Linked DNA regions of Saccharomyces cerevisiae S288C. The gene in region 3 interacts genetically with the main gene of each other region. Each region holds a gene or a part of one and is shown on either strand. Other genes may lie near its edges.

The links. Genes that interact genetically often act in the same process or in processes that back each other up.
Region 1: mutations in FAA3 (region 3) and PCD1 together harm fitness less than expected from each alone (positive genetic interaction), as found in Saccharomyces cerevisiae (one large-scale study listed by BioGRID).
Region 2: mutations in FAA3 (region 3) and NAM2 together harm fitness less than expected from each alone (positive genetic interaction), as found in Saccharomyces cerevisiae (one large-scale study listed by BioGRID).

Annotation. Positions count from the first base shown.
Region 1 is NC_001144.5:440,522-444,591, forward strand, and holds PCD1 (8-oxo-dGTP diphosphatase), read right to left. Parts: upstream 2,217-4,070; coding exon 1,194-2,216; downstream 1-1,193. Other genes in the region: STM1 (Stm1p), read left to right, coding at 1-767; YLR152C (uncharacterized protein), read right to left, coding at 2,437-4,070. UniProt on the Saccharomyces cerevisiae protein: Diphosphatase (pyrophosphatase) with specificity for coenzyme A and CoA derivatives. Catalyzes the hydrolysis of the diphosphate linkage in CoA to give 3',5'-ADP and 4'-phosphopantetheine. Prefers oxidized CoA disulfide (CoASSCoA) over CoA as a substrate.
Region 2 is NC_001144.5:880,874-886,358, reverse strand, and holds NAM2 (leucine--tRNA ligase NAM2), read left to right. Parts: upstream 1-1,607; coding exon 1,608-4,292; downstream 4,293-5,485. Other genes in the region: DNA repair protein SMC6, read right to left, coding at 1-1,071; CTF3 (Ctf3p), read right to left, coding at 4,435-5,485. UniProt on the Saccharomyces cerevisiae protein: Catalyzes the attachment of leucine to tRNA(Leu) in the mitochondrion.
Region 3 is NC_001141.2:336,994-342,788, forward strand, and holds FAA3 (long-chain fatty acid-CoA ligase FAA3), read left to right. Parts: upstream 1-2,350; coding exon 2,351-4,435; downstream 4,436-5,795. Other genes in the region: ubiquitin-related modifier URM1, read left to right, coding at 5,543-5,795. UniProt on the Saccharomyces cerevisiae protein: Activates endogenous long-chain fatty acids (LCFA) by esterification of the fatty acids into metabolically active CoA-thioesters for subsequent degradation or incorporation into phospholipids.

The DNA.
Region 1 (4,070 bases), on a different chromosome or scaffold from region 3:
TTTTGCCACCAAAGGAAATCGTCAAGAGCAACACTTCCTCCAAGAAGGCTGACGTCCCACCTCCATCCGCTGACCCATCCAAGGCTAGAAAGAACAGACCAAGACCTTCTGGTAACGAGGGTGCTATCAGAGACAAGACCGCTGGTAGAAGAAACAACAGATCAAAGGATGTCACTGACTCTGCCACCACCAAGAAGTCCAACACCAGAAGGGCCACTGACCGCCACTCTAGAACTGGTAAGACTGACACCAAGAAGAAGGTTAACCAAGGTTGGGGTGATGACAAGAAGGAATTGAGTGCTGAAAAGGAAGCTCAAGCCGATGCTGCTGCTGAAATTGCTGAAGACGCTGCAGAAGCTGAAGACGCTGGTAAGCCAAAGACCGCTCAATTGTCTTTGCAAGACTACTTGAACCAACAAGCTAACAACCAGTTCAACAAGGTCCCAGAAGCTAAGAAGGTTGAATTAGACGCTGAAAGAATTGAAACTGCTGAAAAGGAAGCTTACGTTCCAGCAACCAAGGTCAAGAACGTCAAATCTAAGCAATTGAAGACCAAGGAGTACTTGGAATTTGATGCCACTTTTGTTGAATCTAACACTAGAAAGAACTTCGGTGACAGAAACAACAACAGCAGAAACAACTTCAACAACCGTCGTGGTGGTAGAGGCGCTAGAAAGGGTAACAACACTGCTAACGCTACTAACTCTGCTAACACCGTTCAAAAGAACCGTAACATTGACGTTTCTAACTTGCCATCTTTGGCTTAAGCCTTATATATGAATAATTCCAACTGAAAGAATCCAATAACAGTGTTCTACTTTCTGTTTCTATTACTATTATTATTTTAATTGGTTATTTACTATATAATTTGCAAGTGAAGATGATCATGCTGGCAAACCAAAGAATAAAATTGGGTTGACATCCAATCGAGAATATGACATATCATTTTGTTTTATTTAAGCAATAAAAAATAAATGACTTTTAATTTACTTTTCAATTTTCTTTTTTTTTTTTTCACTTCTGAGATGTGCAAGCGTGTAGTTTGTTTGTATTTGTATAACAATTTCATCATTAGTCATTCTTCATTAAAAACTTTTTGTTATCGATTAAGGACATCCAGTATGATTCTTTTTCTCTCATCTTGATTATCTCTTGAGAGTATTGTTAGGCAACGCATTATACCACAGTTTTTTTTACCAAAGCGAGCGGCACTCCAGCAGGTGCTTCATGTAGTATTCAGGTATCACATCGCTATATTTTAAGTTTCTGTCGCCGTTGATCATTCCTATCTCCCATTCACTTCTTCCGTTCGGTTGCATCTGATTACCATAGTCATGTAGTCCAACTATCAAATCTTCGTGCCCTAGTTCTCCTTTTAACTTTTCGTCCATTAGTCCATTAGCTATACATGAAACGTCGAATAATATTTTACATGTGAGTCCCCACAAATCCCTGAATCTGAAAATACCTCCATCAACACCGTCTTCGTCTGAACTTGATAAATCCTCTATGGTTTGCAACCATGGCATTTCGTTATTATTTGCTACGTGAAAATGATAATGCATAATCAACCATTTTATTCCACCCCAATTAAGCTTATACTCCTTCCGCTCAAAATATTCTGCTTGATAACTCTTAACATCCTCATCGGCTTCAGGAAGAAGATGTATAACTAAGTCATTGAGTGGTACAGAAAACAAAGAAGATGTTTCTCCAGGGTTCAGCTTACCAAAAAACTTACGGATATCTAAGGGAACTTTGTATTTATCCTCATGTTTTTCTAATTTATCTTTGTAAAGAAAACAGACCATTGGCTTAACACTTAAAAATGTTCTTGATAAATAGCATGGCATATCCATGACCAAATTGTCTAATTTCATTCCGAACTCCTTATGCAAGACCTCAGGATCATGCGGTAACCCAATCTCCTCTTCAGCTTCTCTTCTGGCTACGCTTTCAAAGGTTTCTTGAAAATAATCAGCTTTACCTCCAGGAAATGAAACATCACCTGAGAAGCTTCTCAATGTTCTTGAACGTTTAGTTAAAAGCACTCGTAGTTCGCCTTTCATTCCAATGAATAATAGTATTATTACCGCCGAATTTCTTTTGAAAGGCCATATTGAGCTCCGAGTATATGGTGTTTTATGAAATTTGTATCTTATCAAGTTCTCTATTAGTTGCTTTGAACTCAGCATCCTCCTCTGACTTAATATCATTACAGCTTTTCTGTTACATGTGTGATTCTCTTCAAATCTACAATATTATTATTGAATTGTTATAAATATACTTACGCGGATCCCCCCCCACAACCCTACCCCAAAAAATAAATACAACGAATAAATACGCGATTGGAATTCATCGCTACTTTTGAAAAAACAGAATATATAAGTTGATAATAAGCTACTCTTGTATATACCTATTCGCCTAGGGATATAATCAAACTTTTAAATCGACCTTTAAGGTATATGTAACAACAAACGCCACAGTGATGAAAAGAATCGCATACTGCATGACAAATAAGACGGACAAACAGTTCATTTGAATGTGATCACCACATGCTGGCGTATAAAATGCTGTGAAATATACTTGAGCAGTAGCACTCGGCATGGACCACGTTAATATCATGTCAAATTTTCCTATGCCCGTATCCAGCCAATCGATCGAATATAGTTTATTTACCCATAGGACGCCAATAATAGGAATGACAATTAATCGAAAGCATGTCATCAATAAGGCGGATTTAATAAATCCAGGTGGCAATGACTTAATTTCTAATCTTGCCAACGTTCCGCCAAGTAATAGAAGCCCCAATGGAACACATGCATTTCCAATATACTCTGTAAAATCCATTAAAAAATTCAGAACAGGTTCTCCATCAGGCGCCTTATGAACGTGAACATATGTCGTTACGAAGCATGCTTTAACCCAGGGAATTAATGCACATATTATTCCTAGTATTGCCCCCAGAGATGCTGGCCTGAGGCAATTTATAATAAAGTACTGCAACCATTTGAGATTGTGTCTCTCTATAAAGAAGGAGAGGCTACCCCTCCCGTCGGTGGCCATATTAGTGCAATTTTCTTCTTCGATGGAACTTTCATCGGTATAACCAGTGTGCACATTACCAATACTTGCGTTCCTGCTTCCAACTTCTTCAGTCAAGGATAGTGGTCTTGATAAATCTAATTCACCTTGCCTTATTTTTTCGGCGGCACTGTATTTGGAAATCAACTCATTCATATCCGCTTTCCTTTTTCTTCTATAACTTCTGCCATCGCTATTTTTTGATATACGACTATATGAGAGGGAACTGCCATCTATTCGCGAGAACTCCAATGCGCCTGGGCTTGAATAAGTCGAGGAAACCCTATATATTTCAGCATGCGGAAGGTCACTTTCAAATTTATGGGATGCACCATTTGATTCTTTATAGGGTTTGATGTAGCCAGTAAAACCTTCGTAGAATGCCTGCGGTGTCATTTCATTTGTAGTAATAGAGTTACAAGACAAATCGCTATTACTTCTCGCATCTTCCGATTGATAGGCATTTGTAGGACGTGTGATATTAGGTAACTTTGTTATTTCAGTAAGTTTGCGATCGTCGATAGCGGGACTTACTGACGGAGTAATATTCTCACTATCTGGTTCTTTTGTATCTCTAAAATCAAGTCCGACCACTCTCCACATTCCAAAATTCATCATTAGGAAACTTTGAATAAATAAAAAAATGCAGGAATAAGCAACACCTTTATCAGCTTCTTCAGCAGTAAAAATGGAGCCGTTACCCATGCTCTGAATATAGGCAATAGGTAAATCTGATATATTTGGAAAGAAACCCGCAAATATGAGCCCCCAGAAGAATTTTTTGGGCACAGTCGTAGCAAATGTAGTAAATAAGGCGCCCGTGGCACCTAAAACAAACAAGATAAAAGCTGAAAGTATTATCACTCCAATCTCCTTTATATCCCTCCATGAAATATTGGACACAATTTTGTTGAAGGTCAAACAAGGCAAAATAGCGTTAACAACCATATTTGATATACCTTTCGCATTTTCCATGGAAACAATAT
Region 2 (5,485 bases), on a different chromosome or scaffold from region 3:
ATCAGATGTATATCTTTCAATCTTTTCTTGCCTATTCCTAATTTTCTCAGTAACTTCATCAACTTTCTGTTGAATGCCACTGATTTCATTCTCTAAATTTTTACAAGCATCTGTATTATGGGCAACATCGATCCATAACGATTTCGCTTGCAAAAGCATTTTCCTTTCGTTCAAGTCTGAAGTCTGATTTAATTCCCTTAACAGTTTTTTGGCATCTTCGTATTCAGCTTTCAAAGACTTCAAATTCTCCAGGTGCAGAGCCATATTTTCTTGTGCACTATCGTGAATAGCACTGGCGTAAAGCAAATTCTCGGTAATTTCTTGAAGTAAAGTACCCTTCATAAAATGGCTATACTTATCCTGTGAGGTACTAGCAGTTAAGAAAGACCTAGCAGCGTCTTGTGACAGGAAACACATGGGGTTGCTTACAGGAACAGAAAAATAGTCCACTACCGTCTGAATATCCTTTTTCTTATTGCTAATTTCCTTGCCGTTTTCCGACCTTAAACTAAAAGAAGCGGGCCCATCTCTCTTAATTATCCTTTCTACTATAATTTCGTTACCAAAAATACCTTGCTGATAAGCACCATACTTGCTATTATCCAGATGAAGGATGATTTTAGCAGAATAACAACCTTCACGAATCAAATCCTTCAAAGAGGAACCTCTGTTAGTCTCGCTAGCCTTGGCTCCCAAACCAATAGTAATGGCGGTCAAAATTGCACTTTTACCACTACCATTATTACCAACAATAAAATTCAGCCTAGAACCAAGCTCAAGTTCAAAATGTTCATGGCACATAAAGTTTCGCAAGATCACTTTCTTAATATATCCTGAAGGTGACTCTTCCAAAAAGTTATCTTGATCCGCCGTGGCCACGTCAGAGGAGCTCCTAAACCCGCTGTCTTCATCTAGTGTATTGCTGTTAAACTGTGTCATGGGGGCAAATTGATGACGTCTGCGTTTTCTCTGCTGCTGCTGCTCTTCGTTTTCCTGCTGCGCAGTCAGTGAAAGTAGCTCATCATCAACCTGCTCTATAGGTCTTTTACCACTAATCGTAGTCGAAATCATACCATTTAGCAATCTAACAAGAATATGCTCTTTATTATTATTAACAGCAGCTACTTATCTCTTGCGAACCTATATGCCTCTTGTCTTTTTTTCTTATTATGAACTTCACTACATGAAATATAAATATTCATGTTGATAGATCCAAACATTGAAATTTAGTATACGCGACGCGTTTTTGGCAAGTTTAACTTAGAATTTTCACTATAAAACAGAAATTTTGATAAAACTTGGATGAAAATGTTCCTTTTGCCTAACTATCAAATACCACAGAAAAATCTTTAATACCATGCCATACTACTCCTGGTCTGTTCATGAACTTGCTTGACATTTCCCTACCTCTGACACACTTTTTGATCCAAGAATCTCATTTCTTATCTCCGCGAAGAATCAAAGAAACCGAAGAAAGTCGTTTTGTTGCTCCGGTGGAGAATCAAGAACTTGGAGGAAGGAGCACAGCAGAGTGTTAAACAAGGCGCTAGTACTCTATATTGTAGAGTCTGTACGTGAATAAATCGACGTGTGTGTACGGTGGAAAAATGCTGTCTCGACCTTCAAGCCGATTCCTATCCACTAAAAGGGGCCCTGGACCTGCAGTGAAAAAATTAATTGCAATTGGGGAGAAATGGAAACAGAAGACAACCCGTGGCTTGCCTAAGCAGGATACTCTGAATAGCGGGTCGAAATATATTCTGTGCCAGTTTCCATATCCTTCTGGGGCGCTTCACATAGGACATCTCCGAGTTTATGTCATTAGCGACTCTTTGAATAGATTTTACAAACAAAAAGGGTACAACGTGATACATCCGATGGGATGGGATGCTTTTGGGTTACCTGCCGAGAACGCTGCTATAGAAAGAAGCATTAATCCGGCCATATGGACTAGGGACAATATTGCAAAAATGAAACAACAAATGCAAAGTATGCTGGCAAATTTTGATTGGGACAGAGAAATAACTACATGTGATCCCGAATACTATAAATTCACCCAATGGATTTTCTTAAAACTTTTTGAAAATGGCTTAGCTTATCGTAAAGAAGCAGAAATTAATTGGGATCCCGTTGATATGACAGTTTTGGCTAATGAACAAGTGGATGCCCAGGGCCGTTCTTGGAGATCAGGGGCTATTGTGGAAAAGAAGCAGCTAAAACAGTGGTTTTTGGGAATAACGAAATTCGCTCCTAAATTGAAAAAGCACTTGAACCAACTGAAGGACTGGCCTTCCAACGTGAAGCAAATGCAAAAAAATTGGATAGGCGAATCTGTGGGTGCAGAATTAGTGTTCAAAGTTGCGGACCCCAAATTTGAAAACTTGATTGTCTTTACAACAAGACCGGAAACTCTTTTTGCTGTACAGTATGTTGCTCTCGCATTAGACCACCCAATTGTACAAAAATACTGCGAGGAAATGCCGGATTTAAAAGAGTTTATACAGAAAAGTGATCAATTACCAAACGATACGAAGGAAGGATTTCAGTTACCTAACATAAAGGCCGTAAATCCCTTAACTAAAGAGGAAGTCCCCATATTTGCAGCTCCATATGTGGTCAGCAGCTATGGTTCAGCACCTAGTGCAGTAATGGGTTGTCCAGGACACGATAACCGAGATTTTGAGTTTTGGCAAACAAATTGTCCTGGTGAACATATCAAGACGTGCATAGCACCTTTTTTTGACGATGCTTCAAAAGTAACTGAACAGGAAAGACAAAGAATAATTGATACTGTCCCGTTCACATCTACTGACGGTGTCCTAACCAAAGAATGCGGAGAACACTCAGGAGTTCTCACTGTAGTGGCAAGGAAATCGATAATGGGGATGTTGAATAGCGAAGGACTGTCTAAGAGCGTCGTTAGATACAAAATTAGAGATTGGCTGATAAGTAGACAAAGATACTGGGGTACTCCAATACCCATCATTCACTGCGACAACTGTGGACCTGTCCCCGTTCCAGAAAGTGATCTACCTGTCAAGCTACCAGAACTTGAAGGCTTGGATACAAAAGGGAATCCGCTGTCCACAATCGATGAATTTGTAAATGTCGCCTGTCCTTCATGCGGGAGCCCTGCGAAAAGAGAAACTGACACCATGGATACTTTTATCGATAGTTCTTGGTATTATTTCAGATTCTTGGATCCCAAAAACACTTCAAAACCATTTGATCGTGAAATTGCAAGTAAAAATATGCCGGTTGATATTTATATTGGTGGAGTAGAACATGCTATCTTACACTTGTTATACTCAAGGTTTATTGCTAAATTTCTCGGATCTATCAATGCATGGAGCGACCCTGCTGGCATCTTCGAACCATTCAAAAAACTGGTGACACAAGGAATGGTTCAAGGGAAAACCTATGTTGACCCCGATTCTGGTAAATTTTTGAAGCCTGACGAGTTAACCTTTGTAAATGACTCTCCAGATGGCAACACAGTGATTATTAAATCAAATGGCAAGGTTCCGGTAGTCTCTTATGAAAAAATGTCGAAATCTAAATACAATGGTGCAGATCCAAATGAATGTATTTTAAGACATGGACCTGATGCTACGAGAGCACATATCCTCTTCCAAAGTCCAATTGCAGATGCCCTGAATTGGGATGAATCCAAGATTGTTGGTATAGAACGTTGGTTGCAGAAGGTTCTTCATTTGACCAAAAATATTCTCAGTCTCGAGAAGGATTTGGCAATAAGTAAAGACTACAAGACCCCGACCGACTTAAATGATGCAGAAGTGAAATTTCACAACGATTTCCAACGCTTCTTGAAATCAATTACGGAATCATTTGAAGTTAATCTATCGTTAAACACTGTAATATCTGATTATATGAAGCTAACCAATATTTTAGAAAGTGCATTGAAAAAAGGTGAAGTAAGGAATGAAATGATAGTACAGAATTTACAAAAGTTGGTAACCGTTATATATCCTGCTGTCCCGTCAATTTCAGAAGAAGCTGCAGAGATGATCAACTCCCAAATGGAATGGAACCAATACCGCTGGCCAGAAGTTGAGCGCACTACTGAGTCCAAATTCAAAAAGTTTCAAATTGTGGTAAATGGCAGAGTCAAATTCATGTACACGGCTGACAAAAACTTTTTGAAATTAGGTAGGGATGCTGTTATTGAAACTTTGATGAACTTACCGGAAGGGAGAATGTATTTGATGAATAAAAAAATCAAAAAATTTGTCATGAAATTCAATGTGATTAGTTTCTTATTCCACAAGTAATCATATGACGCCATGAATTTACCACTAGTGCTTGTAAATAGTTAAATATTAATGCCTTATAGATATAAATTGTCCAATCTCCTTTTTGGAAGTTATAATATATATATATATATATATATGTATATAAATGTGGATGCATATTCTAAGAATTTTGAACGCTATACTTTGAGAGACTCTTCAAATATGTAAACAAGAATGCTGCAATGTCTCTATATGGATTAGCAGTGTTACTCAAATGCATTAAAATCTTTACTCTCAAGTCGTGAATGTTATTAACGCCCTTTATCCAACCATGCTGGCCAATCTCATCATGATGAACTCGAAAGAAATTGTTAAACGTCTCTTCATTTATGATCCCACTGGTGAATTTTATTTTGGTATTTTCGGCCGTTTCCAGTCGTCTTAGAATAATAATACATATGTAGGATAGCGCTGGTATACCAGTTATCGTGAAAAATTTAGCGTTCTTGAAGTCTGCAGTTGGGATATAAAGATTCTCCAAAATCTGCTTAAAGAAATCTGGTGAGACTCCAAACAAACTTTTGGATGACAGAACTTTATTCCTGTAAAGATAATTTGTCAAATCCATGATATATTGGTTCTGCATCCGAACGAATTTGTTTGTTGACGGGTATTGCATCAATTTATTTTTCGTAGCAACCAAGTACCTGCACGCAGCTGATAATAGCAAAGGATCGTCCGAACTGAACACTTTATTCATGATGTCAGGGCCCACAATCAAATATTGGATCGCATAATCCGACTTCGTTTGTTTCGACAGTTGAGTTAAAATATCTAACGAGCTGATGAAAGCCATCGTAGAAAATCTGTTTGAAGTAGCATTGTTAAAGATTTTGTCCAAAGTTAGCAGGCTTTGCATGTCATGCAGTAGTGTCAACCCGAGTGCTATCAATTTATCATCTAAAACCCAGTTTGTAATCATTTGTAAAACGTAAAAACAAGTTTCAGAAAATGTGCAATTATTGTCGTGACCATCTCGTGTACTCCACATAAAAATACTGGCCATAAACTTAACGAAAAATTCCCTTGTACCACTGATTAGTTCAGGCTTCCATAATGGCAAGATTCCGCCACAAACCTTTTTCAACGTAAGCTCATCGAGTTTTAAGTATTTCAAATTACAAAACGTTTGAATAATGCGAGAAGACAGTTTATTATCCATTGAGGACACC
Region 3 (5,795 bases):
GCTATACCGTGATGAAGGTTAATGCGTAAGTTGCAGGCGAGGCATGATATGGACCACAACCCAGTTCGAACATAAAGAACTGAAAAACCATGAGCTGTTTGATTAATTCAAAACAGCTGCTCACAATTTGGCCCAAGTTCAAACCTTTGTCTTTGAAGCATGGAACGTGCCGTTATTTTCATGCTAGTGTAATTTTTGCCTGTTTCATCCCTCCCATCAAAAAATTCATCACGAAGTGCTAAAGGAAAACAAAAAAAATATCAAAGAGAGGAGACGGCTTAAAAGCCCTTATTCAATTGAAGAAATCCCCTGACCTCTGCAAAAAATCTATCGTTTATTTTATTTCTTTGTCTTACGTAACAAATTTATTTTCTGGGATGATGTCAATTCTATTTGGCACGCGAGTCATCGTCTATATAAGGAGGTAACGAGGTCCTTGTATATTTGATGATCCTCACTATCAACACGTCGAGGGACGGTTGGTGACGAACTCAACTTATGTTATAGTTTTGGACCACTCTTTTCCTTGAAAAATTACAGGCATTATACGCAGTCCTGGGGCAGGAGCGCTTCGATCATTAGCATAACAGGATCACGGTTATCACCTGTTTTGTTATAATTCATGGCCTTTAGGTCATGACGTAAAATAATCGGAGTGAAAAAATGAAATCAAAGGCTATCATTTTTAGGGGAACTAAAGCACAAGGATTTGAAGGCGTAGTGAAATAATGAATAATAGATAATCTATGGACCGAACACAGACGTATTTAAAGACAATACAAGGCCATTAATTCCCTTCGGAGGGCTCCCGATGGGAGGATTCTTAGCATGCTCTTTCTAGCCAACAGTATCACTTTCATCAGAAAACGGAAGCCTCCAAAAAGCTACGCTAAACGCTTTTTTGTTTTGGATTATCGCAGAAAATTGGTGACATTCTTGATTAAGAATAAACGGTGACTAGCAAGAAAAGGACATGTCAGGTACCAGTAAAGTCCGATTTAAGATCAAATCAGCGCCTTTAAAGAATCTTGAGATCTTAGTAATCCCGATGGAAGGAAAGAGGTAAACAAACGAATAACTTAACCCTTAAGATGATTCTATACATAGCATGATCTATCCAAGGAACGACCGACGCCCTTAAAAGGGTTCTGCTCAGATTTCGTTAAATACCCGGACCATCGTAGATGATTGTTTTTACTCTCCCCTAACGATGTACTATGCCATAATAAGCATTTTTTTTTTCTTTCTTCACTGCAGCTCTGCTTTGAAAACACTACATCTAAGGCGCTGACGCCAACGCCCAGACTAAATCATCATATAATATCAAACGCCCAACAAAATATTAGAAATAGCTCAACAATAGAGCGCCAAAAGTTTACCGGAACGAACCATCATTGTTTACAGGCAAGCACCCATTTGGAAGGGTACGTAAACTAAATAAATAAGACAAGAAATTTTTTTTATATCTGGAATTTCCTTTGCATTTTAGTGATCCCACCATTACAGATAACTAAACCAGGATAAAAAACAAAAATAATGACATTAATGATACCTTAACTAACGTATAGCAAGCGAAGCAACCACCCATCAGATTTTTGTCCCCGTTTGGAAACTGGAATGCTATGACCACTTTTATCACTACAGCTAACCACTTGTCGGAATGAAGATACGAAAGAGAAATCTTTATTGGACCACTTTTTCTTTCGCTAGAGGTCCTACCTAGCGTATTGCACCCAAGTGATTATTGCGACCTCTGAGTGTCAGAAACTTACGAAGTAAAATTCATAGTTGTGCCTTTCGTCAAGAATCGGAAAGCGTAAAAATAGGCTACGGTCTTTGTCAAGGCGAAATTTTGGAGATTTCAGACGCATGATACCAGCAGTTTTTGGTAATATACTTTTTCAGGTAAAAGCTTTCTACGGCCACTGAAAGTAATGCAGAAGCTTAAGGCTACAGATGAAATGGCCGACCCAAACTAACCAAGCACAACATCAATTACAGAACCGACAATCGAAAATCCTAAAAAAAAAGAACATCGAGTGAACTTTTCGTTATCTCAAAGCTTTAAAGTTAAAAGTGGCAGAAGCCTTGGCTATTCTGTTTCTCTCTTAGATTCTCGCACGACAGCATCGAGCGAAGTTGCAAAACCATATATTTCAGTTCTCTAAACGATCTTTCCCCGAACTCCAATCGAAATAGACTTAACCCGCAACATAACTGACATTCTTCCTCTTTTTTTTTTTTTTTTTTTTTTTTTGCTATTTGCTTTCTGCATGCATAAAAGCGAGACTAGCGTATTAACACTTTATCACTTTCCCTCTCTTCCTGAAGCTGACATGAGCATACATCAATGTCCGAACAACACTCTGTCGCAGTCGGTAAAGCTGCTAATGAGCACGAGACTGCCCCTAGGAGAAATGTTAGAGTCAAGAAGCGGCCCTTAATTAGACCATTGAACTCGTCAGCATCTACGCTGTATGAATTTGCCCTAGAGTGTTTCAACAAGGGTGGAAAACGAGATGGTATGGCTTGGAGAGATGTCATCGAGATTCATGAGACAAAGAAAACCATTGTGAGAAAGGTAGACGGCAAGGATAAATCTATAGAAAAGACATGGCTGTATTATGAAATGTCACCATATAAAATGATGACCTACCAGGAACTGATCTGGGTGATGCACGATATGGGCCGTGGGCTGGCAAAAATAGGCATCAAGCCCAATGGAGAACACAAATTCCACATCTTCGCATCTACTTCCCATAAATGGATGAAGATTTTCCTTGGTTGCATATCCCAGGGTATCCCCGTAGTAACCGCGTATGATACTTTGGGTGAGAGCGGTTTGATTCACTCCATGGTTGAAACCGAGTCTGCTGCTATTTTCACTGATAATCAATTATTGGCTAAAATGATAGTGCCTTTGCAATCTGCTAAAGATATCAAATTTCTTATCCATAACGAACCTATCGACCCCAATGACAGAAGACAAAACGGCAAACTTTACAAGGCTGCTAAGGATGCCATTAATAAGATCAGAGAAGTTAGGCCAGACATAAAAATTTATAGTTTTGAAGAAGTTGTCAAGATAGGTAAAAAAAGTAAAGATGAGGTCAAACTTCATCCACCTGAGCCAAAAGATTTGGCTTGTATCATGTACACCTCGGGCTCGATCAGTGCACCAAAAGGTGTAGTATTGACTCATTATAATATTGTTTCGGGTATCGCTGGTGTAGGTCACAACGTCTTTGGATGGATCGGCTCTACAGACCGTGTTTTGTCGTTCTTGCCATTGGCTCATATTTTTGAACTGGTCTTTGAATTCGAAGCCTTTTACTGGAACGGTATTCTTGGGTACGGTAGTGTTAAGACTTTGACTAATACTTCGACTCGTAATTGTAAGGGTGACCTGGTTGAGTTTAAGCCTACTATTATGATCGGTGTGGCTGCCGTTTGGGAAACTGTGAGAAAAGCTATTTTGGAAAAGATCAGCGATTTAACTCCCGTACTCCAAAAGATTTTTTGGTCTGCCTATAGTATGAAAGAAAAGAGTGTACCATGCACCGGGTTTTTAAGTCGTATGGTCTTCAAGAAAGTCAGACAAGCCACCGGTGGTCATCTTAAGTATATTATGAACGGTGGGTCTGCGATCAGTATTGATGCTCAGAAATTCTTTTCTATCGTCCTGTGTCCTATGATTATCGGTTACGGCCTTACTGAAACAGTTGCGAATGCTTGTGTTTTGGAGCCTGATCATTTCGAATATGGTATAGTTGGTGATCTTGTTGGATCGGTCACTGCCAAATTGGTGGATGTTAAGGACCTAGGTTATTATGCAAAAAACAATCAAGGTGAATTGCTTCTAAAGGGTGCGCCGGTCTGTTCTGAATATTATAAGAATCCAATAGAAACGGCGGTCTCTTTCACTTACGATGGATGGTTTCGTACTGGTGATATTGTTGAATGGACTCCCAAGGGACAACTTAAAATTATTGATAGAAGAAAGAATTTGGTTAAAACCCTAAATGGTGAATATATTGCATTAGAAAAGTTAGAATCTGTTTACAGGTCAAACTCCTATGTGAAAAATATCTGTGTTTATGCCGATGAAAGTAGGGTTAAACCGGTGGGTATTGTGGTACCCAACCCAGGACCCCTATCTAAATTTGCTGTCAAATTGCGTATTATGAAAAAGGGTGAAGACATCGAAAACTATATCCATGACAAAGCATTACGAAATGCTGTTTTCAAAGAGATGATCGCAACAGCCAAATCTCAAGGTTTGGTTGGTATTGAACTATTATGTGGTATTGTTTTCTTTGATGAAGAATGGACACCTGAAAATGGCTTTGTCACATCTGCTCAAAAATTAAAGAGAAGAGAAATCTTAGCCGCTGTTAAATCAGAAGTCGAAAGGGTTTACAAAGAAAATTCTTAGAGAGAAGCTTATTACCTTCCCCTTCCATCTATGCACGGTGTCTCGTACTTCCATAGAGCACCGATTAGTGAATACTAAAACTATGTGCGTGATAAATGGTTCTCTTTTACAGATGCGGTAAATCAATTATTGATATACTACATAACATACAAACATGTTTCATTTCCGTAATACAAATTACAATTGTATAATTAAAAAATATAAAAAACTTCGTGATATGAAATCACATTTTGCTATTGAGTTTGCCACATGAGCGGTATACGAACTATTCGTTATTTTATGACTTTAAAAGCCATACCGAAAGTAGGCTTGAGAAGTATGACTACTGTAGGAGTGACCACTACTGTTAAATGCAGATAGCCGTCTTATGCTCTTCCCTTGTTCTTCTGAATTGGGAATGCATAGCTTGAAACATCAATCTTAATAAGGTCTTGTTTGTTTCTGCTTGGCTTTCATAGTAGCAAATAGTTTCGACCTTAATGTAAGAAATAAAAGCAATCGTTAATTTGAGTAAAGATAACCACTCTTCCTCTTCTACTATCAATATAATAAGAATAACGCTTATGGTTTATTTTAGCTTTTTTGAAAGCTAAACATTAAAAAAGAATAAAAATGCACGGCATACCTACATATTTTAAAAACATATATTTTATGATTGACTTTAGCAAAAGTTGGCGCTGGGTACTTTGAGACTCTTTCCTACAAAACGTTACCAACACTTGCTAGTCTAATCTAATCTACTTAATCAAGGTTTTAGTGGCGTACCATGTGACGGCCATCAAATGCCATCAGTTCTACAAGTTCACATATATTTATATATAACTATTCTCCTAACTTGTATAATATTATACCGAGACAGAGGATAGATTCAATTGATTTCACATACCGGATTATGTTCCTTCCCAAGTTCTCAATCTTATTTAGACTTTTTTTTTTAATTACATTGTCGCCCACTTCGGCAGAAAAAATATAACGACAAAGTAATGGCATCGCATCGACCTAATGAAATACTACTGGCAGACGGTATGGAGAGCTCAAAAATTCCCAAAGCAGAAAACAATACTGATTTCTGATACTAAAACGAGATAGGTTAATAGCAAAATCGGGATGGTAAACGTGAAAGTGGAGTTTCTAGGTGGACTTGATGCTATTTTTGGAAAACAAAGAGTACATAAAATTAAGATGGACAAAGAAGATCCTGTCACAGTGGGCGATTTGATTGACCACATTGTATCTACTATGATCAATAACCCTAATGACGTTAGTATCTTCATCGAAGATGATTCTATAAGACCCGGTATCATCACATTAATCAACGACACCGATTGGGAGCTCGAAGGCGAAAAAGACTACATATTGG